Linked DNA regions of Anolis sagrei. The protein of the gene in region 1 purifies or fractionates together with the protein of each later gene. This does not show direct contact. Links are inferred from orthologs where the notes say so. Each region holds a gene or a part of one and is shown in the gene's direction. Other genes may lie near its edges. The genes, in order: UTRN, DTNA, MARK2 and SNTB1.

Region 1 (7,611 bases):
CATGGCCCTAAATTGCAAGACTCAAGCGGGGTTATTAACCGGGTTCTCATTTGTAGGATCACCATACACCTAATCATACTTCATGGTAGTTAACAACAATTAATACATTTATTCTGTGCTGGCTGATCTTCACCCATCTATTCAAAGATTTCTTAGGAAGTCTTGAATCAGTCTGCAAGAGCACAAAACACTTCGTATTCAGAAGATCCAAGGTTCAGTGTCTGGTAGAACTGGGAAAAGTACCTGGAGAACTGCTTAGACTCCGTGCACAGGCCATACCAAACTAGATGGATGAATGGTGATTTATATAAACTGCCGTGTAGCTTCCTATATTCCTAAGCATAAGCTGAGGAGTTTTCTATTAGGGTATCTTTTAAATTTAACAGTTCAGTAAAAAATCATCCTCCCACTTCCAATTAATGATTGTTTAAGGGATTAATGCTTCTGTTTGTAAACTACTCTCTCAATATGAATGAAACAGTACTGTATTACCTTTCTGTTTAGTTCTGTATTTTATTTTAATTTTAAATAAGGATAGATTGCTATTGTCTAAAATAGTGTGCAAAGAGAAAATAGGCAGGAATAATTAGGTCCATTGTTCATATACTGTCTATAAACATTTTTTAATTTTAAAAAAATATTTCATTGTGACGTGTTTGAATTACATTTGAAAAACACAGTAAGTCTTCCACATTTACAGGTTTGACTTTTGAGGATTTTTTTTTATTTGCAAAGTTGATTATATTCATCTTAGATCCCTTCCAGACAGGCCCTATATCCCAGGATCTCATCCCAGTTTTTCTGCTTTAAATTGGATTATATGAGTCCGCATTACCAGATAATCTGGAATAAACAGAAAACCTGAGATCAGATCCTGGGATATAGGGCCTGACTGGAAGGACCCTTAGAAATCGTGGGCAGTGCATCTAATATAATACTGTCTTGCCACTGTCACAGGCACGATTGGCGGGGACAAGAGAGAGGGCCTTCCCAGAGATTGCCCCTTGGCTATGGCACTCCCTTCCTGGTGAGATTAGATCTTCAGAAGGATGGTAAAAACTTGGCTGTGGGACCAAGCTTTTGGTACAGTGCAATAGGAAACCTTACCATGCCGACTAGATTCAATATGGGTGATTGAGACGGTTTTATACCGTGGATTTTAATGCCAGATAAATTATTTTAATGCTTATGTATGAGTATAATTTATTTATGTTCTGGCATTGGGCGGAATATAAATGTTTTAAATAAATAAATAAATACTGTACAATATTTGTGCTTATAATACAGCATTCATACAGGGCTTATATTTGTGCTTATACAGTGACACGCACGTATAGCATACACAGTAATATAATATGTATCATATGAAGTGGGTATTTTGGGTATTGGGTTTTGGGATACATATACATGAATGTTTGAGTTCCACTTTTCAACCATTTCCATTTTTTGATGGCACTCTGACACTTAAACCGTCTAATAAACCGAAGATGCTTCTAGTGCAATAAATTGCATTTTATTGTACTTCTAGTACCTCTCCTCTTGCACCACCAGCATTCTGCTTCTAGTACAAGGTTTGTAACCTGGCTTCTGTGTGTTGTGGGATTTCAGCTATTGCAAGGACCAAAGATTTGGCATGTGAAGTTTCCAAAGGATTGAATGAGACACAGATGGATGAAGGCAAAGATCAGAGGCTTAATTCTCCTTGGCCAAAGAGGATGTCAGTAGAGTCAGCAGCACCCCAAAAAGTGACATAAGTGCAACTGCAAACATATAGAATTTTTTATAACACTTTGACAGCTATTCAAAACAGAGACTCTAGCATGCTGGCTGTTGATTGATGCAAAATGCTGCCAGCTAAATCCACCTCCTGATAGGTCCAAGAGCTCCATCCATTATCATAGCTGATTGGCTTCAGATGTGGGAAATGTAATAAACTATCATTGGGGTTTTTTGAAGGTTTGAGCCTGTTTATTGATCTCAGGGCAAAGGTGCAAGTAGAAAGGAATGTGGCTGGGCTAGAGATGATAGGCTGAAATGGTTCTGTTTCTACCAGGAAAATGGGTGGCAGCCAGGTACACAAAGTAGTGTCCAGGCTATTGGCACAGAAGTCTTGAGACCCCAGGGAAGGGGTCCATTCCAGGGACTGGGATGAGGAAACATTCCTAGGAACAAAATCAGACAATGTCTAGAAAAGCCCTATGGCTTATCCTAAGCCTGTTCTGTGTCCTGTCTCTCTCAGGGCATTGTGAAAGGATTATGATAACGAAATGTTTGGACATTCGCGGAGGTGTGTGTGGTGTGCACATAGTGCTTAAGCAACATTTAGGTGAGTTCATTGAAGGGTTGCCTGAAACTAGGGAAAGGGTCACCACAGACACCCTGTTGGTTCCTATGGAGACATGGATTCTTGGTTTCGTCTTTTGAGGTCTGGTTTTTGATAACATGTGCACAGAGGTGGCACATGTTATCACTTTCTGCATTTCTACCCTCTACTTGCAGGTAGAAATGCAGAATCACTGCACAACTGAAAAAAAAAGCAAATTAAAAACACACTTTAAAAAACCTGACAGAACACTTCTCTGGAAATCTTTATATGCTACAGTATAGCAGAAGTTGGCTACAGAATTGCACTGGAGGACCTAGATATTTCTAGAACAAATGTTTCAATCAAATCCATAATGATCAAATCTGTAAACATTAAAACCAATAACACATGGAGAGCCAGTTGTGATTTGCATGCATAACATGCCTGAAAAACAGACCTGTTCATTGATTTCCATTCTAAAACCCTTCTTGAAGCCCACTCAACTCTCAACACCAGCTGGAATGGGACTCACTTTGGGGTCAGGACCCAAAACTTAAGAAGCAGTGTTCCAGAGCCTCAAGACTCTGAGCCACATTAGGTCAAGGTTGGTTCCTCTTTTGTACATATCCGCATCCCATCCACACCTGATGAAAAATTAGATGTGGTGTGATGTAGTAGCCTGAGTGCTCTCCATGCAATTTTTCAATTCTGCCACAAAGCTCATGAGGTGGTTTGGGTCACAGGGATCATCTACAGCAGGCATGGGGAAACTTTGGCCCTCCGGGTGTTTTGGACTTCAACTTGGCTAATAGGAATTGTGGGACTTGAAGTCCAAAACACCCGGAGGGCCAAAGTTTGCCCCTTCCTGATCTACAGTATTAATGCAGTTTGACAACCACTTTAACTGCCAGGGTTCAATGCTGTGCAATACCGGGAGTTGTAGTTTTACAAGCTTTTCACTGTCTCTGCCACCAAAGCCTCACCAGACTCCAAATTCCAGGACTCCATAGCCTTGAGCCATGGCAGTTCAATCTGTGTTGTCAAAGGCTTTCATGGCTGGAGTCACTGGGTTGTTGTGAATCTTCCAGACTGTATGGCCATATACCAGAAGCATTCTCTCCTGACGTTTCACCGACATCTATGGCAGGCATCCTCAGAGGTTGTGAGGTTTGTTGGAAACAAAGCAAGTGGGGTTTATATATCTGTGAAGTGTCCAGGGTGGGAGAAAGAACTCTTGTCTGCTCAAGGCAAGTGTGAATATTGCAATAGATCACCTTGATTATCACTGAATGGCCTTGCAGCTTCAAGACTTGGCTGCTTCCTGTCTGTTTTCTGAGTGTTGTTCTTTATTTAGTGTCCTGATTTTAGAGTTTGTAAATACTAGTAGCCATATTTTGTTCATTTTCCTGTTTTTTTCCCCTTTCTGTTGAAATTGTCCACGTTTGTGGATGAAAATGAATAAAATCCGGCTACCAGTATTTAAATGAGCTTTCACCCACTCTGGACATTCCAGAGATATATAAACCTCACTTGCCTAGTTTCCAAAAGACCTCACCACCTCTGAGGATGCCTGTCATAGATGTGGGCGAAACGTCAGGAGAGAATGCTTCTGGGACATGGCCATACAGCTTGGAAAACTCAACAGCAACCCAGTTCAAACTGTATTACTTCTTTTCTGCCTCTCCGACGGGGAGGAGGCGGGACGGACAGCCTTCAGCTGGGAGGAAAAGAAAATTACAAAAACAAAAAAAAAGAAAAAGAAAAACCTAGTGTCTGGGGCTGATTGACAGGCCGGCAGGTCACGTGACACTCTCTGCCACGCCGCGAACCTCCTTGGAGGGAGGGGACGAAGGGATGAGTTCGGTGAGCGCGCGCGCGCGGATGCTCGTGCACGCGGCTCCGGGAGCAAACTTCCCAGCGCAGCAGAAAGTTTGCTGAGAAGGCGGGAACGCGCCTCAAGGGGAGGAGGAAGGAGAGGAGGGGGGCGGGTGTGGGCGCGCGCAACCACCTGGGTGCCTTGTCAGCGCCGCCTTCTCCTTTGGCTTTGCGGGACAGAAGAGGCAGAGCCTGGGCCAAAGAGTCGCCAAAGCTGGCTGGCCCGGAGCCCCTTCCTCCCCTCCCTTCCTAACAAACAAAGGCAGACTCCAGAGGAGGAGGAGGAGGAGGAGGAGGAGGAAGAGGCGCGCCGGGTGCAGGAGCCGCCTCGGTCCGTCTGTCCGTCCCCTTGCTTGCTTGCTGCGAAGTTGAGCCCTTGCGGGAGGGAAAGAAGGAGGGAGGGAGGGAGGGAGGAAAGGAGGCGCTTCTTCCTCCTCCCCTTCCTCCTCCTCCTCCTCCTCCTCCTCCCACAGGGCTCCAGAAAGTGAGAGGAGAGGCGCTTAGGCTGCGCAACTCCACCAAGGAACGAAAGTCAGCGGATTGGGAGGAAACTTTGCCTTCTTCCTCCAGGAACTTTTTGGAAGAGGCTTTGGCGCTGAGTTTGGAGGAAGAGAGAGAGAAATAGGTGGACTCTCCGCACCGCATGGGACCCTGCGGGAGGTGAAGCCTCTGGCGGGGTTGGTGTGCAGGCAGGTAAGCTGGGCGATGATTGACAGGCGGGTGGGGTGGGGTGGGGTGGGAGGGGAGGGGAGGGGAGGGGGGCAGGAGGGCCGACAGGGGAGGAGAAAAGGACCTCATCCCTCCCTCCATAGCCTCCCCCCTCCCTTCACCATAGACCTATCTGGCCGACCCTCAATGGGAGAGGCTTAGGTTGCATCCACATTGTGGAATGAATGCACTTTGGCACCACTTGGACTGCCAGGGCTCCATGCTGTGGGATCCTAGAGTTTGCAGTTTGAGGAGGCCCCAGCACTCTTTGGCAGAGAAGGAGAAAGACCATGTAAAACTTCATCTCCGCAGCACAGAGCCATCTTTGATGTGGGGACAGTTAGTCCAAAATTTCCTTGTCTGATAAAACAGAATAGGCCACCCTCAATTTTTTTCCATGTCAGGAGTGACTTGAGAAACTGCAAGTCGCTTCTGATGTGAGAGAATTGGCTGTCTGCAAGGAAGTTGCCCAGGGGACATTGGATGTTTTACAATCCTGTGGGAGCCATCTCTCTTGGTCTGCATGAGGAGCTGGAGCTGACAGACAGGAGCTCAACCCGGTCCCCAGATTTGAACTGCCGACATTTCGATCAGCAGCCCTGCTGGCTGTCCATCCAACAGCATTCACTTTCACCAAGGATTAGGAAAGTCAACAGATAAGTGATAATGTTTGAGTGGGAGCTCACCCCATTTTGTTTGGAAGAGGTCTTGACTTGTGCCTTCAAGGCCCCCAATTGGCTTGTATCCCCCCAAAACCCCACACACAGATGGCCTTCCATTGCTCCTGTTTGCCTTCAAGTCCTTCCCCACTAAGGGTGACCCTTGAGACAAGCAACGGTTACTGTTTTTCCTTCAGGGATATTCAAACCCTGGTCCCCAAAGTTCTAGTCCAGCATTGAAACCACAGAGTGCATCTATGCCAGGGATAGGCCAGCTTGGGCCCTCCAGGTGTTCAACCCCCGCCATTCCTAACAGCCTCAGGCTCCTTCCTTTCCCCCCTCAGCCGCTTAAGGAAAGAGACTGAGGATGTTAGGAATGGCGACACTTGAAGTCCAAAACACCTGGAGGGCCCAAGTTGGCCTATGCCTGATCTATGCTGTAGAACAGACATGGACAAACTTCAGCCCTCCAGGTGTTTTGGACTGCAACTTCACAGTTCCTCACACCTGGAGGGCTGAAGTTTGCCCATCCTTGCTGTAGAATTAATGCAGTTTGGTCAAACTTGAATTGCCGTGACTCAATGCTATGGAATTATGGAATCTGTTAGGTTTGGCCTTACTTATTTTTCTTGGCCTTCCTCGGAGGATGGGAGAGTTTGACTGGTTCAGAGCCACATTGTGAGTTTTCATGGCTGAGTGAGGATTGGAAGCCCTGCTCCTTAGCGTCCTAATCCAACACTCAAACTATAGCAATTATCTGCACCGTAGAATGAATGCAGCTTGACAAGACCTTAATTGCCATGGCTCAGTGCTATGGAATCTTGGGAGTTATAGTTTGGTGAAGCATCAGCACTCTTTGGCAGGGAAGGCAAAAGACCTTGTGAAACTAAATCTCCCAGGATTCCATAGCACTGAGCCTGGGCAGATAATGTGGTGTCAGGCTTTCATTGAAGGTGGAGCCCCAGTAGCTCAGTGGGTTAAACCAGTGGTTCTCAACCTGTGGGTCCCCAGATGTTTTGGCCTTCAACTCCCAGAAACTTCTGGGAGTTGTAGGCCAAAACACATGGGGACACACAGGTTGAGAACCACTGGGTTAAACTCTTGTGCGGCAGGGCTGCTGACTAAAAGGTTGAAAGGTCAGTGGTTTGAATCCAGGGAATGGGGTGAGCTCCTGTCTGTCAGCTGCAGCTCCTCATGTGGGAACATGAGGATGGTGAAATATTTGGGCACCCCCTGGGCAATGTCCTTGCAGACTGCCAATTCTCTCACACCAGAAGTGACTTGTGGTTTCTCAAGTTGCATCTGACACACGGGAAAAAAACCCAGGGTGGCCTATTCTGTTTTATCAGACTAGGAATTTTTGGACTACTTGTCCTTCCCCCAGTTCAATAAATGCCATGTTTCTTTAGAAAATGTTAGCACACAATTCTCTTGCCTTTGAGAGACTTAACAAATTTGGGGTGGTCTAAGCTTCCATGGATTAGTGAGGCCCCTTCATCAGGTGATTTGGTCAGAGTGGGCTGGGGAAATGCTTCTAGTCCTTTTGCCTCCTAGTTCTGTGCGAGTATGTATCTACTTATAGGGTGGATTAAAGGATACTTCCATGCAAGCAGCTTTTCGTTCCTCTGCCCTAGTCAGCTTTCAATGTGCTTGTGTGCATAGGTACATAGGAGATAGGTGGTTGTGATGGTCCTAAAAGGCCATTAAGCTTTTGTAAAATAATTCCTTCTTTAGCTAATTGGTAGGAGTTCTCCATGGAGCAAAGGCATTACAAAATTTTCATAGCTAGCCTTACCATTAAGTAGAGTGAGGCAGACACCTCAGGCAATGGATTTGGGGTGTGCCGTGAAAAGGCAGAAAATTGTTAGTTATTTAATTCATTATGTTCGTATTTTTATTACCAGGAAAGGAGGAGGCGTTTTGAGACTTTCTGCCGCTGGTGCCAGAATAACTTGGCTGTCCTAGGTTACTATGCATTTTGGCTTGGGTGGGGAAGGCGTGTGAAAATACTTCTCATTAGTTTATCCAACATGCTTGCATGCCTTTTTCAAGAAAGGGACAGAG
Region 2 (8,480 bases), on another chromosome or scaffold:
GATTGAATAACAAGCTACGTGTTCCACAGTAAACGAATAAATGCATTTCTGTACATCACACAATGTACTTGTTCCTGTGCAACTCTAGCAGAAGTGCCTTATTTGTGATTGTTGGAGAGTTTTGTTTCTTTATTACCCAGAAAACATCAAGTTGAGTTAAAATACAAAATTTAGTGATTATCAAAGGCAATGGAGCTTCAGGGCTTCTGGCACTGGTAGTGTTGTTGGTGGTGTGTGTGTACCCTCCAACTGTCCCCATTTTGTAAGGTCAGTTCTATCAACCCTCAACCCCATTTTTCAGCTGTTTTTAACATGCCTCCAGTTTCTCTCTTCTCCTATCATTTGTCCTGTTGCCATCAATTGCTGCAAATAGATCTTAACATACAAAAATAATATGTATATGATGATCACAGAATTTTGGTAGCAATTAAATTCCCTCACAGGGAAATCCTGGAAATTTCTTTAATGCTAGGTTACTACTATACAGCAAAATTATGAATGAAGAATCCACCAAAACCCAACCCCCACCCCCAACTCCCAAAAGTTCCTCCATCCAACCTCCAGACCTTCCAGTCCAAGCCAATTCATGTTATCAGGCTCCTTCCCACTCAAGGCCTCCTGATGTTTTAATTCCTTGACCTTGGCTATGAAACGCATGGCATGGAGGTGTCCATGACACAGTATTTTGATAATTTGGCGGAAGGGAAAGGGGTCAGGAAAGCAAGCTCCTGCAGTCTCTGCCAGCTTGTCTGCTCTTCAACATTCATAATGTTTGCTTCTAAGGTTAATTGACTAGTGTATGTCCCAGTTTTCATTCATTGTAGGATATATCAGTTAGTCTAAGGAATGGGAAATAGATGTCATTACACATGTTGCTGAGCTATAAAGTCCAAGCAGCTTTAGCAAGCATAACCAGTGGTGAGGCCTCCTGGTAGCTGAAGTCCTACAATGTTTTGTGGACTTTTTGATTCCCAACTCTGCTGTGTAGTAAGCAAAGACATTGAAGCCTAACACTTTGTGAAGTCAAAAGAGAAACAAAGAAAGGGAATGTCTTGTTACCCTCTGGTTGAGACCTTTAATAATTGCAGATCGCTACAAGTCCTTTCAGGGAATGGAATGCAAATAAACTGTGACAGTCTCAGAATTAGAAGTTTAGTATCTATAAAACTTCCAGAGAGAGATAGTGGTAGAGTTACTTCTGGTCGTTTTTATAACCCCATCTCTCACAGGATATAAGCAAGTTTTACGCATTTACAAAAATGAGAGGTGACATGGAAGGAAATTGTTACTAGCCCTTCGTGCATCATCCGGCTTGGATTCTCGTAAGTGCGGATTTCCCCTCTCCTTGACCACGGACTGTTTCTGACAACGATGCTACCTTTGGGACTTTGGAATCTTCATCTGGGATTTCTTCAACTTGGGACTGTTTTTGGACGACAGCTTTTCTTCATGGCTCTTTGTTTTACCATTATCTTTGAACTGTGTGATTTTGGTGTGTTTTGAACTAACACTGGTTTAATCCGATTTTTTGCAAGTTTAATCCAGTTTATTTTCCAAGTTATTTATTTATTTTATTTACTTTATTTGTATACCGCACTCTCTCAGCCCATAGGCGACTCAGTGCGGTTTACAACCAAACCAATATACAAAGTGCACAACATTAGCAATTAAAACAGTAACTAAGGCAACTACATCAATATAACAATACATCAGTACATCAATCTAACATCAATACATCCATATAACTAATCCATCACGTCTCATCAGTAAAGTCATAATCTGATCTCCTCATCCATTATTCCAAGTTCCAAGATCAATCAATTAATTAAGTTCATTTTTTAAGCTGCAAGTTGCTGCAAACTTTGAGTTTTGACCAGAGACACTGAGGCAAGTGTCTCTGAGTCCTGTTTACTTTGATTTAATAAACTGTTGTTTTGAATACTTCCTTGTGTCTGGCTCTTTAAGGCATCTGGGTTCCGGCAGATAGTGTACATTGAATTTTTTAGTTCTTAGGTAGCTAATTCTCTAAAATACTGTTTCAAAATGTTTCAAAGCCTTTTGAGTATCAAACAAAATAAGCAAGCAAGCAGGCAAAGTAAATCCAGTTGTTAGTCTTGCCTTCAGTTAAACTGTCTCTGAACTGAAGTTTGGTACAGTGTACATTTCCAGGTGACCGAAGCAAGCTCAAAAGCAAGCTCCACTGCAGCTGATTTTATATGTGGTAGGTTTGTATCAGATTGCAGCCTTACTCAGTAGTTCAGGATTAATATCTATCATTTGTGGCAGGTATATCTAATTGGAATATTGTACTAGATTCGTAAACATTTGACAAAGTCTTTCCCAACTTGTCATCAAAGTGTCTGGGCCATGTTTCCATTTGAAATTCCAAACTGATTGCTCTCAGAAAGGACAAGCAACAACCAGACCTAACTCAACACAAAACCATGGTAGATGCCTCGAGATGCCACATAACATTCTTAGTTATTGTCAGGATGGCAGCAGCAACTTGTCGAGTCAAAAGGCAAAATTCCAAAAAGTTTGTTTTAGAAATAAAAAGGGGACATTATAAATCTGGGAAATCATGCCCCCGGTGGTACAGTGGATTAAACCCTTGTGCTGGCAGGACTGAAGACCGACAGATCACAGGTTCGAATTCAGGGAAAACATGGATGAGCTACCTCTGTAAGCCCCAGCTCCCCGTGCAGAGACATGAGAGAAACCTCCCACAAGGATCGTAAAGCATCAGAATATCCGGGTGTCTCCTGGGCAACATCCTTGCAGAAGGCCAATTCTCTCAAACCAGAAGCGACTTGCAGTTTCTCAAGTCTCTCCTGAGATGAAAAAAAAATCCTGCTGGGTGCCCCAAAAGTTGAAAGAGTTTATCTAAGCATCATAACAGTTTGGGAATTTTTTTGTTTAATAATCTTTATTTAATTTTTAAAGAGTACATTAAAAATAGTATAGCATAAAAATATGGTGGTCTTTAAATAAAGAAAGTTATATAGAGTTAAAGATACAGATAAAGATTCGTGTGGGATATGATAAAAGGGAATTGGAGGGTGGGGGGGGGGGGGTAGAAAGATATGACAAAATGGCAGTGTGAAAAGATACAAAGATTAGCTGATAATAAGTGGGAAGTAGGAAGATATATAGAAAGATAGCATTGAAAAAACAGATAAGAACGTAGATGTCTTGGTTTCCCAGTGTTTTGTCTGAGGTTCTCTCCATTTCCTTTCTTTTCCTTTTACTTACTTGTTTTTTCTCTTTCTCCCTCCCTTCATTTTTCCCATTTCTTTCTCTTGTCTAAATAAGTTTGGGAAATAATTTTAATGGGCTAACAAAGAGGAGTGACCTCTCTAAGATACGACTGTTAAGATTCGTAAAGCAGGGGAATAATTGGGAAAACAGGAAAGGGCTAAAAGACTGCCACTCAGATTCCCGAACTTAAAGGAGGGTCTGGAAAATATCTTTCCTAAGTGAGATTTGTGAGGTGAAATGGGTGGCCAAGAAATAAAAATAGATTCAGTGGATGATTAGTTGCAGATCCAGACTGCAATAGGCACATTCCCCATGGCAAGAACATCAGAACAGCCCTGTTAGATCAGGACAAATCTCTCCCAATCTGCCATTCTGATCTCAGAATGGGAATATCTATAGGAAGTCCACCAGCAGAACACAATTGCTCTAGGACATTAATGGTTGTGTTCCCTCATAAATGAACGTACTGAAAGGCATGCCTCTTCTGAAAGTAATAGCCATTGTTGTCCTCCATTATTTTTTTTATAATCCTTCCTAAAAACGATCAATGTTAGCGGCCATGACTATCTTTTAATGTTGAATTCCACAGCTTCCCTTTACATGGTATAAAGGTACTTGCCCTCAGTCTCAACTATTCAGTTTAATTGGAATAATCTAGGATTTTAGCATGAGAAAAGGAAGACATATTCTTCTCCCCTTTCTCCCCATGCAGAATAGGCACACTTAGTCATTAGCTAATATTAGATTTGGCAGCAGTATTAGATTTCAGCTACCTCTTTCTTGGAAATCGGCTTGGCATCATTCCCTGATGTTTCTGTACCAGCCTGTTTTTCTAAATCCATTAATAATTTTTCTTAAAGTGCTATGGAGAAGACAAGATATCTATAAAGCTTACATTTTTTTCAGCTTTCCCAAAAGCGAATTACAGTATTCTTACATGACTTTAAGTAAGATTAGACAAATGTATAGCAGGTAGATCTACCAAAAGCTAGTAACACTAATTACTAAAAATTACGAGTGTAGACATACATTGAATCCAAGTGCTTGATTGTATTAAAACCTTCTGATAGCTTCAGAATATAATCCAAAAGACAAAATAATAATTAGTTCAAGAACTTACTAGATTTGCAGGTAAGCAGATTTATGCCACTAGTTTCCACATAGTATATGGAGGGAATGCCCCTTCGGAGATTGTGAATGCAGTGTCTTAATGCTGCTGATACAATGCAATTCTAAATGTTATTATAACTGCAGTTTTAAGTAACGCTTTCATGGAAATAAATTTCATTGACATATAGGGCTCTTACAAACAGGCATGTTTATTTATTTAGGTGTTCTTGTCTCTCTTTCCAAGAGAGAATGCCCTCAAAAAAGTGCTTTGGGATCCAGATGTAGATAGATGCTGTTCATTTTGGTAATACGGATGTTCCAATTGTGACATAGAGTGGGTGTTGCTCTTTTCACTCAGCTCTGGGATTCTCTATATGCTCAGTGATGTAGAGCACATAATTACGCATGTTCTTAAGGCCGGGTAGCTCCTGTCCTCTGTTGCCGCAGGCTCTCAGGAATGTCACTTGCAGAACATTCCTTTCCTGGGCAGCCAAGTTTGGAAGCTAGTTTATTCCTGGCTGCAAAACTGCAGTAATGCCTGAATGAGAGACATGGCAGGAGGGCTTCAATTTCTGCCTGTACCCAAACACCAAGGAGAAGCAGTGAGAGCGTCTTCTTTCATCTTGCCGAGACAGGTAACAACAACCGCAGAAGCAGCAGCTGTCTGGGGCTCTCCAAAGGAGGGAAAGTGAGGGAGGTGGAGTAACAGGGGGTGGGGGAGAGAAGAGAAAGGGAGTGGATCTGAGTGCTTGTGATTGGTAAGCCTCATGAAGGCATCTGCCAGCAGGACTTCAGAGGAATGTGAAACCAAATCATTTACAAGTTAAAGATAGAACCAAGAGTACATAGCATCTTGGGCACTAGTTTCAACTTAGTCTCTTGAAGACTGTTGCCTTGGGAGTTTTCTTTTCACTGCCTCCAAGGCACCTCAGTTTTTATTCTATCAGACTCTCATTTAGTGTTTTGGAATAACTAGGAGTGTGTAAGAAGATCATGGTGCATGCTGCAGGGTAAGTAACAAGCTTCATTTGAACTCCTTATTTCTTTTACCATGCTTGTTCAGCTTCTGGTCTGAACGTTACAGGGAGGCATGCCTACAGGTAATGTTCCCTGTTTGCCCCTTCAGAGTGCATGCCTCAGCGAATTGGCATTATACAACTTTTCTTGTTGTGGCATGCATGAAGACATATTTAGATTGAAAGCAGTGTTTCTTTCCTGCTAGATTTATTTTGCCCTAATGGTGTGCTAAATCTTTTTGTTTCAATTGCAGAATGAAAAGCACTTCGGCCATAGTAAATTTAGGAGCAAATTCGTATTTCTGTGTATATAGCATAGTAGCAGGCTATCCTAGATGCATCTTAGTGCCTCCTGTTATTCTATTCTGATTCTGGCACTGGTTCTGTGTAGCTTGGGAACACAAATAGATTTTTGTATCCCCAAGCTTCAGTTTGGCTTTTTTGGCAGGGTATTTCACTGTGGACTGTTTAGTTTTTTTGTCTGTGCATTTATGCTCCATTAGAAATATGCAGTAATCAAGAGTGATCTTTTGGTTAATTGAACAAAAGTAAGCAAGTGCTTGTTTATTAGATGAGTCTACTTATCTTCATTTGAATTGTAACATTACGTCCAGCTATTTATGTGTATATTCCAGTGAGGTTGGTAGATCTTTTGGAAGAAAATACTTACGTTATTTACATGTGAGAAAGAGATTTAATGGAATTATTTTAAAAACAATATTATTTAAAAAATGACACAGAGGAAGGAAGGATCCAGGCATATTATTTACTTCCTTGCCAAAATGAAATGTAATGCATAGGCTGTGCTTTACTTCATTGGTGTTTGTTAAATATTGGTCTCCTATGAAGTCATTTGTAGCTTGCACTTTTATTATGGTGTAAAATATTTCCTCCACTCCATTAATAATATTACATTTTTGAAATTTTATCTGTAACAAGGCTTTTTGCACTAGCTGTAGGAGGCAAAATGTTTTTTTTTATGGAGATATAAAATTACTGTTCCTCTGCTTGCATTTTAGAGAGCTCTTAAATTTCACAAAGATATCTTCAACTTGAAAATATGAGGAGAAACACTTGGCTACAACTCAAATCATTTTTGAACAGAAAATCTTCTGCACCTGACATTCTGTTCCTTTTCTTTGATAACTAATTCCATAAGTCACAGTGCTCAAGAGAATTGGGAGGAGGAGTGTATAAATAGCAAAAATAAAACTGAATATATGCAGTCGTTGCTTTTCCCCTGGTGACCATGACCGAGAGGAAGTAGAAATAATTTGCAAGAACAAAATGCAAAATGGAGGGGAGGAATGTGGGGATTATAATGTGCTGAATGGGATCTTAACTTAATACTTCTAATCTTCAGATTTTTGTGTACTGCTGTATGTATAATCATAGTATTTTAAGCTTTGTGACTCACAAAGTAGACTGAACAACCCCAACCTGGTCAGCCATTAGGCTACTTAGTGAACGGGTACAGTTCCAATTTTAGAAGTGGACGGGGCAGTGTTGGCACTATACCTTGTTGTAAAGTCAAGTTGGGAACAAATACTTTTGAAATTGGTCTGGGTCAGGTGCTTGTAGCTTTTCAATTCTAGGCATAACTTAGTAATTTAAATATGCATATTCTTAGAATCTAGAAAACTCTGTAAGAGATTTATACTAAACTGTTAAAACATGTATTTAGGGCATAGCCCAGCCAAAATTAATCCCTTTTATACTGAAGCTCTATGCACATGAACCTGGAAATAAGCAATGTTGAAAATATTTGTCTTTATTTCCTAACTAAACATCCATAGGATTGCATTATTATTCCCACTCATTTCAGAGCTAAACAGATGTTTAACTCTTATTCATATCAGTGGAACATTCATCTGTGTTGTAGCTGGATTTTGCCAGAAGATTTTGCTCATACTTAAATGTATACTCTCCTTTCCTTCTGTGTATAACATACATAGGGAAACAGTACTTGAGCATACTCACATCTAGTGAAAAGTCACTCTGTAAGATTTCCTGGTTTCCTCTAATAGAGGATGATGTATGTGTCATGTATGTGCATATGGGATAGAGCAAATAGAGCAATGAGACTTTCTCAGGCCCCTTCCACACAGCTGAATAAAATCCCACGATATCTGCTTTGAATTGGAATATATGTCATTGTGTACTCAGATAACCCAGTTTCTGCCTTGATATTCTGGGTTATATGACTGTGTGGAGGGGCCCTCAGTCATTGGTGTCCAAATCCTGGTAAAGCCTTTCCAGAGCAGTATGCCTACCTACATTCCTTTGCAATGTTAGGTCAGTAGTGAAGATTTCTATTGAACCATACTTTTAATTAAATGTTTTGACTACATCCAGACAAGTTCCTACTGCTAGCAATAAAAAAGACATTATTCAGCTGTACTATCAATCCCTTTTTGACAGAAAAAAAGATAAAAGGGCAGGAAAACACATCAGGGTTATAAATGGAAGATACCTGAAACACCCTTCCCCCCAGCTCTGTGAATGAAGAGAAACAATTACACCATAAAGGTTTTATTTGGAAGTATCCTACTTCTTTTACAGTGTTTCAAACGGATGCTGCTTTTGTAATGTAATCATTTATTGTGTGTTAAAATCCATGGATTTTCTGGTTTAGCTAATCACATTCAAGCCACCTTGAATGTAGTTTGTTGTTTATATAACAACAACAGCCACAACAATAGATAATCATTTTCCTATACTGTATGACCACCATATCCATAGGGGATACATTTCTGGACTTAACAAAGTTAGTGAAAATAATCAATAATAAGGAACCCTATTGGATGAACTACTTCCAGTAGATATATAGTATAAACTCATGCTGGAGGACCTCAGAAATGCCTAGAGTTGACACCTCTTTGAAGATTGTCAGGTTGTTTAGCATGGCTCCATGATCAACTTCTAGTGGAAACAAACCATGGAGTCAGAATGCCCTTTATGCCTCATCTTGCCTCATCCTGCATGAAAAATACATTCTCTGATTCTGAGCTTTAGTTCTTTCCAAATCAGGAATACTTATGTGTTGTGGTTATAACTGCACATGATACAAAACAATAAGGAGATTGAAAGGAAAGA
Region 3 (7,603 bases), on another chromosome or scaffold:
TTGGAAGGGATCCCCAAAGGCCATACAGTCCAATTCCTTTTTCTGCCATGCATATAAAGCACAATGAAAGCCCTATCGACAGATGGCCACCCAGCCTCATAGAATTCTAGAGTTGGGAGGGACCCCCAAAGGCCATCCAGTCCAACCCCTTTTTCTGTCATGCAGGAAAAGCAGAATGAAAGACCTCCCAATAGATGGCCATCCAGCCTCATAGAAATCCTAGAGTTAGGATCCCCAAAGGCCACCCTGTCTGACCCCTTTTTCTGCAGTGCAGGAAAAACACCATTGAAGCCCTCCTGACAGATGACCACCCAGCCTCATTGAGTCCTAGAGTTGTAAGGCACCCCCAAAGGCCATCCAATCCAACCCCTTTTTCTGCACAATGAAAGCCCTCCTGACAGATAGCCATCCAGGCTCATAGACTCCTAGAGTTGGAAGGGACCCCCAAAGCCCATTCAGTCTGACCTCTTTTTCTGCCATGCATATAAAGCACAATCAAAGCCCTCCCAACAGATGGCCATCCAGCCTCTTAATGGTGCACACAGTGGTCAGCATCTATAGAATTAGAAAAGTATGCATCTCATTCTGATAATTTTCCAGTCCGTTGTTGATGGAGTTCATTGTGCTAGAGTAGTAGCAATAATAATAATAATAATAATAATAATAATAATAATAATAATAATAATAATAATAACAACAACAACAACAAAAACAACAAGATAAAATGCTATTTCAGTATGTAATGTTCAACAGTGACCACAGGATGGCAGCAAAGAGTAAGAGCCTATGTCTTACACAGAACTCTGCAGCCGGCTGTACTAAAAGGGTGCAATATTCCACTTCGGCCACGCGATGGCAGCAAAGGACCGTACATTGGATCTGCAGAGCCTTGGGCAAAAGGCAACTCTAAGGGAGAGATCGAGAGGGTGTAATATTCAGTGTGTCCACTGGAGGGAGGCAAAGGGACCAGTCATTAGGGCAATGCAGAAGCTCATTGGGGATGATGAGGTCAGTTGTCCTATTCCTCTAATAATAGATTAATCTATTATTAATAATAACAATTAATCTATTAATAATATTAGATTAGTGCCCCATTTGGGTTTATCTGGATTATAATTCCCATTTCAGTTCTATTAGAGTCCAGTTTTAAATAAAATAATAATAATAAAAAAATGAAAAATGAAAAAATAAAATAGTAAAATAAAAAATAAAATAAATAATGATAAAGATAAATAAATAAAAGTAATAAAATAAATAATAAATAGAAACAGAAATAAATGAAGATAATAAAATAAATAGAAATAGAAATAAATAAAAATCTAATTATAATAATAAACAATTATAAAGATAAATAAATAAATAAATAAAGATAAATAAAGAATAAATAGAAATAGAAATAAATAAAAATCTGATAATAATAATGTTAAAGATAAATAAAAATAATAAAATAAATAATAAAAATAAATAGAAATAAATAAAAAATCTAATTATAATAATAAATAATTATAAAGATAAATAAATAAAAATCTAATTATTATAATAAATAATTATAAAGATAAAGAAAGATAAATAAATAATAAAAATAAATAATGATTAAGATAAATAAATAAAAATAATAAAACAAATAATAAAAATCAATAGAAATAGAAATAATTAAAAATCTCATTATAATAATAAATAATGATAAAGATAAATAAATAAATAATAGAATAAATAAAATAAATAGAAATAGAAATAAATGAAAATCTAATTATAATAATCTCCAGCAAAGGATCATAAATAATAAAAATCAATAGAAATAGAAATAAATAAAAATCTGGTTATAATAATAAATGATAAAGATAAAAAATAAATGAAAACAGTAAAATAAATAATAAAAATAAACAGATAAAGATAAATAAATAAAAATAATAAAATAAATAATAAAAAGAAAAAGGAATAGAAATAAATAAAAATCTAATTATAATAATAAAAATGATAAAGATAAATAAATAAATAATAGAATAAATAAAATAAATAGAAATAGAAATAAATAAAAATCTAATTGTAATAATAAATAATGATAAAGATAAATAAATAAAAATAATAAAATAAAAGTAAACAATGATAAAGATAAATAAATAAAAATAATAAAATAAATAATAGAAATAAAAAGAAATAGAAATAAATAAAAATCTGATTATAATAATAAAAATGATAAAGATAAATAAATAATAGAATAAATAAAATAAATAGAAATAGAAATAAATAAAAATCTAATTATAATAATAAATAATTTTAAAGATAAATAAATAAATCAAAATAACAAAATAAATAATAAAAATATATAGAACCAGCACAATTAGATGCCACGTGTATATATATATATATATATATATATATATACATATATCAGTTAAAAGCAATTAAATTACATCATAAATACATATAAAACCATAAAAGCAATAAAAACTATATAAATCTATAAAACCAATATCTTCCGGTTCTATTCTCATCTGTTTACATTGTCTTAGCCATTCCATGTTTATATACCTATTTGAATTTACACTGAAGTTCCAAATGCTTTCTCAAAAAGTCAGGTCTTCGATCTTTTCTAAAAGGCCAGGAGGGAGGGGGCTGATCTAATATCCTTGAGCAGGGAGTTCCACAGCTGAGGGGCCACCACTGAGAAGGCCCTGTCTCTCATCTAAATAATACTAATACATTAAAATGCTAGTACTACTAAATATTTATTTATTTACACCATTTCTACCTCGACTTTCTCCACTCGAAAGGGGACTCTAGATGGCTTTACAACATGTGATGTCATTAAAACAATGTAAAAATTATAATAAACATTTAAAAAATCTTATAATAGAAAGCATATAATAATAATGATGATGATGATGATAATAATAATAATAATAATAATAAATGGTTCTATTTGGTTTAGAAATCACATCTTAGTCCTATGAGGGCCCCATTTTTGGCCCTTTGTGGATCAGAAATCCCATTTCAGAGCCCCAGTTTGGTAATATCTGGATTGGAAACCCCATTTTAGTCCTATTAGAGCCCCATTTTGGTTCTACCTGGGATATAAATCTAATTTCAGTCCTATTAGAGTCCAGTTTTGCTCCTATGTGGATTAGAAATCCCATTGGATCCTATTTCAACCCCATTTTGGGCCTATCTGGATGGGAAATCCCATCTGAACATGAGAAAGAACTTCCTGACTGTGATAGGGGTTCAGCAGTGGAACTCTCTGCCCCGGAGTGTGGTGGAGGCTCCTTCTTTGGAAGCTTTTAAACAGAGGCTGGATGGCCATCTGTCGGGGGTGATTTGAATGCAATATTCCTGCTTTTTGACAGAATGGGGTTGGACTGGACGGCCCATGACTGTGAGAGCCGTTCAGCAGTGGAACTCTCTGCCCCGGAGTGTGGTGGAGGCTCCTTCTTTGGAAGTTTTTAAACAGAGGCTGGATGGCCATCTGCCGGGGGTGCTTTGAATGCAATATTCCTGCTTTTTGACAGAATGGGGTTGGACTGGATGGCCCATGAGGTCTCTTCCAACTCTTTGATTCTATGATTGCAGTCCTTATTATTATTATTATTATTATTATTATTATTATTATTATTATTATTATTATTATTATTATTATTATTGTTTTGGTCCTTCCTGCAGTGTCGGTTTCTGGCCACCAGGGGGCAAGCTGTTTCCTGCAGCTTCAATAGGATTCATTCGGTTGTTTCCGTACACTCTGAGCTCAACTCGCTCGGCTATTTCCGTATTGTGCGCCTGCAGTGTCAGTCACTGGCCACAAGGGGGCGGAGGATCCCTGCCTGTTTCCTGCATCCCAGGTTCATGGACCAGAAGGCAGTTTCGATAGTACTCATTCGGTTGTTTCCGTACACTCGCTCGGCTATTTCCGTATTATGCGAGCCGAAACCTGTTCGGCTATTTCCGCCTCCTTTCCGAACCGCTTGGGGAAGGTTTTCTCGAAGTTGCCCTCTTTCAGTGCCAAAGCTTTGGCCACGCCCCCGCCTGCCTTTCGTGGACCAATCAACTTTGTCCATCCCTTTTCGGCTCTTTCCGTACACCGTGGGACTTTTCCCGCCTGGATCGTGCGTTTCCGGAAAGTCGGCGGAACTTCCCGAAGCCCGGCGGCGGCGGCCATGTTGGGAGCCGCCGCTGTGTGAAGCAGAGCGGCGGTGAGTGGAGCTCGGGCACCGGGGCGGCGAAGGGAAGGGGAAGTCCGTGCCCGGCCTGGGAGGCCAAGGCGGGCGTCGGAGTTGTTCGCAGCAGCCCGGCATTGACTTTGGTTGACAGGGTCCCTCCGTTGGGAGCTTTCGGACCGGTGCGGCCTAGCTCCCGAGCCGCATCCCCGGCCTCGCGTGAAACGTCAAGCCGGGCATCCTTCACTCGAGCCCGGGGAAGGGGGGAACTCTTACACTGGTGTTTTTCCAACCGAGCCTGGTTGTTCCCCATGCTGGTGGCTTGGCCTCCCCCCTCGCCTTGAGGAGGAAGAAGAAGAGGGACCAGGCTCCTTCCCTTTGGGCCAGAAAGCAGGAAAGAGGAAGGAGGCAGCAGCAGCTGGGGGGGCCACCGCCCCTCAGGCCCTGCCACAGGCAGCCATGTCCAACAGCGGACGGAGCCCCTTGCCCACCTTGACGGAGAACACCGAGCAGGTAAGCAGAGAGAAAGAGTATCCACGAGGGGCCTCTTCTAGGCCCCCAAAGGCAGGACTGGCAGTCCCCGAGTTACGAACGAGACCGGGTCTGTAGCCTTGCTCTTAAGTTGAACACCTATGGAAGTCAGAACAGGTACATTTTAAAAGTGTCACTCCATCCAAATGTATATATTATATTACTAGTCATTCCCTGGAAAATAAAGTAACGAGAAAGTGCTGGTTTCTAATATATGTCATTTCTCTACATTTTAAAAAGTGTCACTCCATCCAAATCTATATATTATATTACTTGCCATTCCCTGCCAGGCGTTGCTGTGGAAAATAAAGTAATGAGAAAGTGCTGGTTTCTAATATATGTCATTTCTTTACAGTTTAAAAGTATCACTCCATCCAAATGTATATATTATATTACTACCCATTCCCTGCCAGGCGTTGCTGTGGAAAATAAAGTAATGAGAAAGTGTTGGTTTCTAATATATGTAATTTCTGGCCGGGGTGGTCCATGCCTTGGCCACCTCCAGATTGGACTACTGCAATGCGCTCTACGTGGGGCTGCCCTTGAAAACGGCTCGGAAGTTCCAACTGGTCCAACGAGCAGCAGCCAGGATGTTAACTGGGGCCCCTTACAGAGAGAGGTCAACCCTCCTGTTCAAGGAGCTCCACTGGCTGCCGTTTATTTTCCGAGCCCAAAATAAGGTGCAGGCGCTTATCTACAAAGCCCTGAACGGTTTGGGACCATCCTACCTGCGTGACCGCATCTCCGTCTATGAACCCACACGTGCACTTCAGTCATCTGGAGAGGCCCTGCTCGTGATCCCGCCTGCTTCACAAGCGCAGTTGGTGGGGACACGAGACAGGGCCTTTTCTGTGGTGGCCCCCCGACTCTGGAACGCCCTCCCCAAAGATCTTAGACAGGCCCCTACACTGGCAGTCTTTAGAAAGAACTTGAAGACCTGGCTGTTCCGATGTGCCTTCCCAGATTAGGAAATCTCCAATACCAAGTCCCATAAGATTGCTGCACATCGCACACTGCACTTGCCCTATAAGCCTTATATTCCACCTGTCACATCAGCACTTTTAATCCTGTACCCATTACTCTGGCCCGGCCCAGTTTTATTGTGTCTTAGTGTATTGTTTATTGCTTGTTGTTTGTATTGCTTTAATTGTTTTTAATTTGCCTTACGTTTTGTATTGTTATATTGTGTGTTGAGGCCTTGGCCTTTGTAAGCCGCATCGAGTCCTTCGGGAGATGCTAGCGGGGTACAAATAAAGTTTAATAATAATAATAATTATTATTATTATTTCTTTATATTTTAAAAGTGTCACTCCATCCAAATGTATATATTATATTACTAGCCATTCCCTGCCAGGCGTTGCTGTGGCCCAGTCTGGTGATCTGGAAAATAAAGTAATGAGAAAGTGTTGGTTTCTAATATATGTCATTTCTTTATGCTTGTGGGTACATTTTAAAAGTGTAACTCCATCCAAATCTATATATTATACTAGTCGCCCCCTGCCACGCGTTGCTGTGGCCAACATGGGGGTTCTGTGTATACTCAAGTATAAGCCGAGATTTTCAGCCCTGTTTTAGGCTGAAAAAGCCCCCCTTGGCTTATACTCGAGTTAAGGTTATTTATTATTTTATTACTTTATTTTTATTTCATTTTACAAGCCGTCCCCTGCCACGCGTTGCTGTGGCCGACATGGGGGTTCTGTGTGGGAGGTTTGGCCCAATTCTATCGTTGGTGGGATTCAGAATGTTCTGTGGTTGTAGGTGAACTATAAATCCCAGCAACCACAACTCCCGAATGTCAAGATTCTATTTTCCTCAAACTCCACCAGTGTTCACATTTGGGCATATTGAGTATTCATGTAGAGTTTGGTCCAGATCCAACATTGTTTGAGTCCACAGTACTCTCTGGATGTGGGTGAACTACAACTCCAAAACCAAAGGACACTGCCCACCAAACCCTTCCAGTATTTTCTGTTGGTCATGGGAGAACTGTGTGCCAAGTTTGGTTCAATTCCATCATTGGTGGGGTTCAGAATGCTCTTTGTGATTGCAGGCGAACTCTAAATCCCAGCAACTACAACTCCCAAATGACAAAATCAATTTTTTTGAGTGAAGGACATACATTGGGTTGTTAGGTGTCTTGTGTCCAGATTTGGTGTCAATTCATCCAGTGGTTTTTGAGTTCTGTTAATCCCACAAAGGAACATTACATTTTTATTTATATAGATTATTAGCCATTCCCTGCCAGGCGTTGCTGTGGAAAATAAAGTAACGAGAAAGTGCTGGTTTCTAATATATGTAATTTCTTTACATTTTAAAAGTGTCACTCCATCCAAATCTATATATTATATTACTAGCCATTCCCTGCAAGGCGTTGCTGTGGAAAATAAAGTAATGAGAAAGTGCTGGTTTCTAATATATGTAATTTCTTTCTGCTTGTGGGTAAACACTATTTGGTTACGTTTTCTTGCCCTAGTGAAGGGAGTTGGACTGGATGGCATTAAGTATTTTCTATTGCAGTGGTTCTCAACCTGGGCTCCCCAGATGTTTTTAGCCTTCAAATCCCAGAAATCCTAACAGCTGGTAAACTGGCTGAGATTTCTGGGAGTTGTAGACCAAAAACATCTGGGGAACCCAGGTTGAGAACCACTGTTCTATTGGTTATAGAGGTGTTGTGTAGGAAATTTGCCCCAATTCTATCGTTCATGTGATTCAGACTGCTCTTTGGTTGTAGGTGAACTATAAATCCCAGTAACTACAACTCCCAATGTCAAGGTTTATTTCCCCCAAGCTCCATTTGTGTTCCTAGTTGTGCATATGGAGTATTTGTGCCGAGTGTGGTCCAGAACCATGCTTGTTTGAGTCCACAGTGCTCTCTGGATGGAGGTGTACTACAACTCCCAAACTCAAGGTCAATGCCCACC
Region 4 (8,377 bases), on another chromosome or scaffold:
TAGTAGCCTCTTGCATTATCCTAGGATTCCGGGATAATGGAATCACACATAATCATCATCATCTTGAGGATATGAGGATTTAAAGATAGAACTGCAAAGACTCTGGCATAAGCCAGTAAAGGTGGTCCCAGTAGTGACTGGCACACTGGGTGCAGTTGCTAAAGACCTTGGCCTGCACTTAAAAACAATCAGTGCTGAAAAAATTACCATCTGCCAGCTATAAATGGCCATCCTACTCAGATCTGCACACATTATTCACTGATACATCACATAGTCACTAGATACTTGGGAAGTGTCTGATGTGTGATCAAATACAAAAGCCAGCATAGTGATCTTGTTTGCTGCGTACTAATCTTGTTATGTATCACATAATAATCTTTATTTGTATCCCAACCCATCTTCCCTCTGGGGACTCACAAATAAAATGGCAGCAATCCAATGCCAAAAGTACATAATAAATAAACCAAATAATTAATATAACACAGGTAAACAAGTTAAACAAGAACATGATAAAAGAGTTTTTAAAGAATGGCTCTTCTGTCTCCAACTAGTGTTCACAACTGTTTGCACAAGTCTGTAATAAGCAGGTGTGCAGAAGGCATGTTCTCTCACCAGTCACACACTCACTCAATGGGAACCAAGGATGTTCAAAACAAGAAACTGCTAAATTATGGGTGTAGTCTAACAAATTCAGGTGTTGCTAGTTTTGGAAACCAGCAGCAGTCACTTAACACAATTCTAAAAGTAGCAGTAACAGCAACATGAAAAGTACTAATAATATAGGGTGGTGTAAAATAAAAATGCAGTAGACAGTTTCAGTAGAGTTCTGCATTAATAAAGACCAATTAAAACATGACAAAATATAGGCAAGTTTCCATGTTCCCTAGAGCTAAAATATGAAATTTTCCATTAAAGTCAGAACCAGAGCACACAGTTCCCCTTCTGATGACACTGGACTACAATTCCCATTTGCTGGCCCTACCCAATACAGATCATGATGAAGGGTACAGCTTGCAAATATATGTGTTTCCAAGTTGCTTACTGACTTGTATTCTCATGTATTTCATCGGGTTTTCTTAGGCAAGTAATACTCAGAAGTTGTTTTGCCAGTTTCTTCCTCTGGAATATAACCTGTAGTTCCTGGTATTCCTTGGTGCCCCCCCCCCATCCCAGTAGTAACCAGGTCTGAGCCTGCTTAGCTTCCAGACAGAACCCCAAAGGTCCCATTTTGTGGTCGAAACTCTCAAATTGCTCCAAACCAGCATGACACTTTCGCAAGAGACTTGAATTGGGAAACACAGATTTCCAGTGCCGTGCCCCACTGCATTGCTTCCGGACTGAGCCGAGATTGCATCACAAGTCAAGGCAATAAAATCAGGAACAATTCATAAAAGCGGCCTTTATTTCCTAGGGCATCCTAGCCTGCTTTTTCCAGTGCACATAACACACCCACACCTGGGGCAAGGAGTGAAGAAACACAGCAGAGAAAGTCCTTATATCTGGAATCTTTTATTTGGAAATGCAAAATACTCCAAAATCTGAGTTGCTGAGATAGTGCCTATTTCCTTTCTGAAGAGGCAGTGGATAAACACCTGTCTTCATGCCTCAAATTATATAATATTATAGCCAAACATACATTCAGGTGATATGTTTGAACTGTCTGTGAAATATGTAAGTGAATTTCTTGTTGGGACTTGAGTCTGAACTCCAAAATATCACATTATGAATAAGCAAATATTCTGAAATGGGGTCGGGGAATCAACATAATCCCAAATGCTTCTGGTTCCAAATATTTTGGATAAAGGAAACTCAACCTGGGGAAAGTCAGCATGGGATAGTGATTTGAGTGTTGGTCTAAGACTCCGGAGACATTCCTGTTTGGCTATAGAAAGCAGAGTGGGCTCCCGTCTGTCAGCTTCCCATGCGGTGACATGAATGAGGCCGCCCACAGGATGGTAAAACATCCGAGTGTGACCTTGGCAATGTCCTTGTAGATGACCAATTCTCTCACAGCAGAAGCAACTTGCAGTTTCTCAAGTCACTCCAGTACTACTACTACTATTACTACTACTACTACTAATAATAATAATAATAATAATAATAATAATAATAATAATAATAAATAGATAGTCATCAGAAAGCTTGGGCAAGTCATGTTCTCTCAGTCTCAGAGGAAAACAATGCCAACCCCCTTCTGAACAGCTGTTGCCAAGGAAATCATATAACCTTATAGTTGCCATAAGTGTGTCTAAAAGCATATTCAGGTGACATATTCAAGGTGTCTACAAAACAAAAAATGAATTTCCTATTGGGGCTTGGGTCCCAGTCCAATATGTCTCACTATTAACATGCAACTATCCCAAAATCTGGGGGGGGGGGGGGAGAGGGGGATCCAAAACACTTCTGGTTTGCTGCTAAGGTACAGCCAATGTGGTCTGATCAAGTCTGGAGACCAGGGTTTGATTTCTTACTGGGTGATTTAGGGCAAATCTCAGCTCCAGATCATTCTGTATGAGAGTTGTCTTAAGTCTAAATGACTTGAAGGAAGGCAACAACAACAGTGGAAACTAAGGAGACCGCTCCTGAGGCACTTTTGCATCACCTCTCGTAATCTCTCTACATTGTAGAATTAATTTTGTTTTCTCCTTCGTAGTCTCTGTGAAAGGTTAGGTTTTAAATGCGTCATGGTGTCATTGTTTTTAGTGTTTTATTGTTTTGCTTGCTGTTTTTTTATTTGCTTATGAATTTTATTGTTGTATTTGTATGCTGTTGTTTGTTGGTGGCCTTGAACTTTGTAAGCCGCATCGAGTCCTTTGGGAGATTTTGCGGGGTATAAATAAAGTTAATAAATAAATAATAATAAATGCATACATATGGTAGTTGATGCACCATATGTGTGAATTTCACAGATGACCACTCAAAGAAACATGTTTACAGGAAAGCAACCATCATTTCTCCTTCGTGGTCTCTGTGAAATACACAAATATGGTGCATCAGCTACCATATGTGCGAATTTAACAGATGACCACTCAAGGAAACATGGCTACAGGTAAGTGACCATCATTCACCCCACTTGAACTGCCATGGCTCAATGGTATGGAATGATGGGAGTTGTAATTTTACAAAGATTCCCACCTTTTCCATCCAAGAGACTGGGAGATTGGCACCCACCAAACTGCAATCCTATGATTTCATAGCATTCAGCCATGGCATTTAAACTATGCTGCAAATAAATACTCTGCGGGGGGGGGGGGGGGGCTTGTGCTGAACTCCATGCATTTCACATGCATCTACACTGTAAAAAAATAATGCATTTTGACACCACTTGTACTGCCATGGCCCAATGCTATGAAACCATGGGAAATATAGTTTTACAAAATCTTTTGCCTTCTATGTGCAGGTGTACGCCGTACAATGCAACAGTGCAAACTATAACTTATATGAGATCCTCTCACCTTTGCAGGAGTCTACTTACACCATGCAGCTGTGGACAAGTCTACATAGGGACCACCAAATGTAGCATTGGCCAAACACAGGCTGTATGGCCATGTTCCAAAAGCATTATCTGCTGATGTTTCACCTACATCTATGGCAAGCATCCTCAGCAGTTGTGAGGTCTGTTGGAAAGTGAAGTTTATCTGTAGTAAGGGCCAGAGTGGTAGAAAGAGCTCTTGTATGTTGGAGGCAGGTGTGTTTGTTGCAATTGGCTACTTTGATTAGCATTTAATGGCCTTGCATTTTCAAGATCAGGCTGCTTCCTGCCTGAGGGAATTCTTTGTTGGGAGGTGTTAGTTGGCCCTGATTGATTCTTGTCTGGAATTCCCCTGCCTTTTGAGTCTTGCTCTTTATTTAGTGTCCTGATTTTAGAGGTCTTTTAAAAATACTGGTAGCCAGATTCCCCCAGGAAGCTACCAACCAGGCTTTGAAGCTGCAAGGCCACTAATGCTAATCAAGGTGATTATTTGCAACACTCACACCTGCCTCAATCAGACAAGAGTTCTGGCTGGTTGCTGCCTGGGGGGATCCCTTGCTGGGAGGTGTTACCTGGCCCTGATTGATTATTGTCTGGAATTCCCCTGCTTTTTGAGTCTTGCTGTTGATTTACTGTCCTGATTTTAGAGTATCTGAATCCAGACTGTCATATATTCCAGTTAAAAGCAGATGATGTGGGATTTTATTCAGCTGTGTGGAAAGGGCCTTGGACCTCATCACACTCAAGAATGAATCCACTTTATATCCAGTTGCTGCCTCCTGCAGAATTCTGGGCATTGTAGTTTAAGGAGGATCATAGAATCATAGAGTTGGAAGAGACCTCGTGGACCATTCAGTCCAACCCCCACCAAGAAGGGAAATCGCATTCAAAGCACCCCCGACAGATGGCCATCCAGCTTCTGTTTAAAAGCTTCCAAAGAAGGAGCCTCCACCACACTCCGGAGCAGAGAGTTCCACTGCTGAACAGCTCTCACAGTCAGGAAGTTCTTCCTCATGTTCAGCTGGAATCTCCTTTCCTGTAGTTTGAAGCCATTATTCCGCATCCTAGTCTTCAGGACAGCAGAAAACAAGCTTGCTCCCTCCTCCCAATGACTTCCTCTCAAGTATTTATACATGGCTATCATATCTCCTCTCAGCCTTCTCTTCTTCAGGCTAAACATGCCCAAGTCTTTAAGCCGCTCCTCATAGGGCTTGTTCTCCAGACCTTTGATCATTTTAGTTGCCCTCCTCTGGACACATTCCAGCGTCTCAATATTTCCCTTCAATTGTGGTGCCCAGAATTGGACACAATATTCCAGATGTAAACAATATTCCAGAGGAGCCTTTAGCAGCCTCACTGAACTACAAACCCCAGAATTCTCTAGGAGGCAGAAACCGGATTTAAAGCGGATTCATTCTCTAGTGTGATGAGGTCAAAAGTGGTGTCAAACGGTAGGCATCCGATAGTGAATATTTGCGACGTTCCTCAATGGCACTCTCTCGTGATTTTTTCCCCATTCAGGTTTGAAAGGAGAGTGTGAGAGCGCATGGGATGCCGTCCACAGACTCCACGCCGCTTCCATTGCGCGGGCTCAATGCTTTGGGTTCTTGGGATGTATAGTTTGGGGAGGCACCGGCACGTTTGGGCAGGAAAGCACCGTGCAAAGCTGCAAGTCCCAACCAAAGTATTGAAACGGGGCGCTTGAAGCGGTGCCAAGGAAGTGCCCTCTTTCTCTCCCAACTCCACTCCGCGCCGACTTGGGCTTCTCCTTCTCCCTCCCCACTTCGCTTGGCTTTCTTGGCCCGCTCCTCCCCTTCGGCGGGAGTGCTTTGGGGCTGGCCCTCCTCCTCCCGGAGCCTCTCTCTCTCTCTCAACCTCTCTCTCTCTTTCCTCCACTCTTTCTCTTTCTCTCTCTTTTCCCGGAGGCGAAAGTCCTGCGCGCCGTGCGCCTTTCTCTCTCCTCCCGGCGCTCGCCGCTTTCCGAAGCGCTCCCTCCTCCTTCCGGGGTGTCGTGGGGATCCCCGAAGTGCCAGGGCTTTTGGGGAGCAATGCTCCAAAGATGGCGGTAGCAGCGGCGTCCGGAGGTGGCCTTTGGGGACCCAACCGGAGCGGCGCGCTGGAAGTTTTGGTGCGCGACCGCTGGCACCGGGTCTTGGTGAGCCTGGGCGAGGAGGCGCTGGTCCTGAGCGCCGAGGAGGGGGGCGGCGGAGAAGGCGGCCTCTACAACGGGCTCGGGGCGCCGGGCAGCCCTAGCCATGGCCCCAGAGCGGGCTCGGACTCGGCTTCCGTCCGGACGGCGTTCACGGACCTGCCCGAGCAAGTGCCCGAAGCCTTAGCCAACGCCAAGCGGCGCGTCAAGGTGCTCAAGCAGGAGGCGGGCGGCTTGGGCATCAGCATCAAGGGCGGCAAGGAGAACAAGATGCCCATCCTGGTCAGCAAGATCTTCAAGGGACTGGCCGCCGACCAGACCCAGGCGCTCTACGTGGGCGACGCCATCCTCGCCGTCAACGGCGCAGACCTCCGCGACGCCACCCACGACGAGGCCGTGCAGGCGCTCAAGCGGGCCGGGAGGGAGGTCCTCCTCGAAGGTAGGGCTGAGGCTCCTGCTCCTCCTGGGCAGCATCCGGCAGGGCTTGGCACCTCACTGCCTTAGGCGAGCCCTCCGTGTCCCAGTAGGATAGTCTTCCAAGATACCCTAGCTGGCTGTGGAGCCCTATTCTTGACCCGCATCTTCACCCGCAGTGAGGGCATTGGTTTCCAGGTGGGGGTTGGCTTGACACGCCTTCCTCTTGGCACGTTTCTCTCTTTCACCCTCCATTCGTCCCTCATCAAATTCTACAGCACTGCTGGTCACAGCTGACCTCCAGCTGGAGCAGTCAAGGGCCAGGGCTTCCCAGTTCTCAGTGTCTATGACAGAGTTTTTTAAGGTTCACTTTGAGTCCATCTTTCAATCTCTTTTCCTGCCCACCAACATTCCGTTTTCCATTCTTGAGTTCGGAGTAGAACAACTGCTTTGGGAGATGGTGGTCGGGCATCCGGACAACGTGGCCGGTCCAGCGGAGTTGATGGCAGAAGACCATCGCTTCAATGCTGGTGGTCTTTGCTTCTTCCAGCACACTGAAGGAGCCCCCGGTGGCGCAGTGGGTTAAACCCCTGTGCCGGCAGGACTGAAGACCGACAGGTCACAGGTTCAAATCCAGGGAGAGGTGGATGAGCTCCCTCTATCAGCTCCAGCTCCTCATGCGGGGACAAGGATGATAAAAATATCAAATCATCCAGGCATCCCCTGGGCAACGTCCTTGCAGATGGCCAATTCTCTCACACCAGGAGTCACTCCTGACATGACAAAAAAAAAAAAAAGCATGCTGACGTTTGTCCGCATGTCTTCCCAAGAGATTTGCAGTTTTTCCCGAAGGCAGTGCTGATGGCATCATTCCAGGAGTTGCATGTGATGTATGTAGACAGTCCACGTCTCACAGGCATATAGCAGGGTTGGGAGGACAATAGCTTTATAAACAAGCACCTTGGTATCCCTACAGATGCCCCGGTCCTCAAACACTCTCTGCTTCATTCAGAAAAATGGTGCACTCGCAGAGCTCAGGTGGCATTGCATTTCAGTGTCAATGTTGACTTTTGTGGAGAGGTGGTAATGTTACACCATTAAGCTGTATTTCTGGCATTGGAGAGGGATTGGCTGGGGACTGCTGGAACAGCACAATTGTTTTTTCAGCACCCCCATTCCAAGGGAGCGAGCAAGGAGCTTTGGGGGAAAGCAGGCTGAACACAAGGCAATCTGGTATTTCTTTATTTATCGTGTCAGAAGCAAACCAAACAGTTGTATTGTATTTTTTTAAAAAACACAAAGTTTGCAAACTTGGCATTCTATTTATTTATACCCCATGCTTTTCGCAATAATGGGAGTTAAAGAAGCTTTGCAATTGTGTGCCTTTCTGGAGGTTGCAAAAGTATGATAGCTGGGACCCTACGCTAGTAGCTGGGATCCTACACTGGTTGCGCAACGCGGGGGCAGGATTAATGAAGGGAAGTAATGTTAGAGGTATTTGCTGTGAAATGATAAACAATGGCTTACGAAGACGGTAAACGGGGTAGGAATGTTTCCTCTTTCCCTTTCTGGTGAACAATGTTTCCAGTATTCTGACGTAGCAGTGTCTCTTACTTGCTCTGCTGTCTCACACACTTCTTCCCTTCCTTAATTCACAGCTGCGTTATGCAACTAGCGTAGTGTTGGGTCCCAGCTATCATACTTTTGCCCTGAAGGTTTTCACCCTTCAGTGAGTGACTGCATCTGCAATTATTGTGATTGTTGTCGTTTATTCGTTCAGTCACTTCTGACTCTTCGTGACCTCATGGACCAGCCCAGGCCAGAGCTCCTTGTCGGCCTATCACTACCTCCAGCTCCTTCAAGATCAATCCAGTCACTTCAGGGATCCCATCCATTCATCTTGCCCTTGGTTGGCCCCTCTTCCTTTTTCCTGCAATTTCTCCCAGCATCATAGTCTTCTCCAAGCTTTCCTGACTTATCATGATGTAGCCAAAGTACTTCCACTGTGCCTCTACTATCCTTTCCTCCAGTGAGCAGTCGGGCTTTATTTCCCGAAGTATGGACTGGTTGGATCTTCTCGCAGTCCAAGGAACTCTCAGAATTTTCCTCGAACACGACAGTTCAGAAGCGTCTATCTTCCTTCGCTCAACCTTCCTTATGGTCCTGTTCGCACATCCGTAGGTTACTACGGGGAATACCATTGCTTTAACTGTGTGGTTCTTCGTTGCCAGTGTGATGTCTCTACTCTTCACTATTTTATTAAGATTGGTCATTGCTCTCCTCCCAAGAACTACACATCTCCTGCTGGCTGCAGTCTGTGTCTGCAGTAATCTTTGTGCCTA

The links.
Region 2: the proteins of UTRN (region 1) and DTNA purify together in Homo sapiens (affinity purification with mass spectrometry; 3 studies listed by BioGRID and IntAct, with this or other methods). This does not show direct contact. The link is inferred for Anolis sagrei from reciprocal best matches to the Homo sapiens genes UTRN and DTNA.
Region 3: the proteins of UTRN (region 1) and MARK2 purify together in Homo sapiens (affinity purification with mass spectrometry; 4 studies listed by BioGRID and IntAct, with this or other methods). This does not show direct contact. The link is inferred for Anolis sagrei from reciprocal best matches to the Homo sapiens genes UTRN and MARK2.
Region 4: the proteins of UTRN (region 1) and SNTB1 purify together in Homo sapiens (affinity purification with mass spectrometry; 3 studies listed by BioGRID and IntAct, with this or other methods). This does not show direct contact. The link is inferred for Anolis sagrei from reciprocal best matches to the Homo sapiens genes UTRN and SNTB1.

What each region holds. Positions count from the first base shown.
Region 1 is NC_090021.1:76,107,282-76,114,892, reverse strand, and holds the start of UTRN (utrophin), read left to right. Parts: upstream 1-4,290; 5' UTR 4,291-4,873; intron 4,874-7,611.
Region 2 is NC_090024.1:54,069,999-54,078,478, reverse strand, and holds the start of DTNA (dystrobrevin alpha), read left to right. Parts: upstream 1-5,152; 5' UTR 5,153-5,361; coding exon 5,362-5,378; intron 5,379-8,480. UniProt on the Homo sapiens protein: May be involved in the formation and stability of synapses as well as being involved in the clustering of nicotinic acetylcholine receptors.
Region 3 is NC_090032.1:14,868,000-14,875,602, forward strand, and holds the start of MARK2 (serine/threonine-protein kinase MARK2), read left to right. Parts: upstream 1-4,113; 5' UTR 4,114-4,610; coding exon 4,611-4,664; intron 4,665-7,603. UniProt on the Homo sapiens protein: Serine/threonine-protein kinase. Involved in cell polarity and microtubule dynamics regulation. Phosphorylates CRTC2/TORC2, DCX, HDAC7, KIF13B, MAP2, MAP4 and RAB11FIP2. Phosphorylates the microtubule-associated protein MAPT/TAU.
Region 4 is NC_090024.1:21,345,141-21,353,517, forward strand, and holds the start of SNTB1 (beta-1-syntrophin), read left to right. Parts: upstream 1-5,303; 5' UTR 5,304-5,531; coding exon 5,532-6,060; intron 6,061-8,377. UniProt on the Homo sapiens protein: Adapter protein that binds to and probably organizes the subcellular localization of a variety of membrane proteins. May link various receptors to the actin cytoskeleton and the dystrophin glycoprotein complex.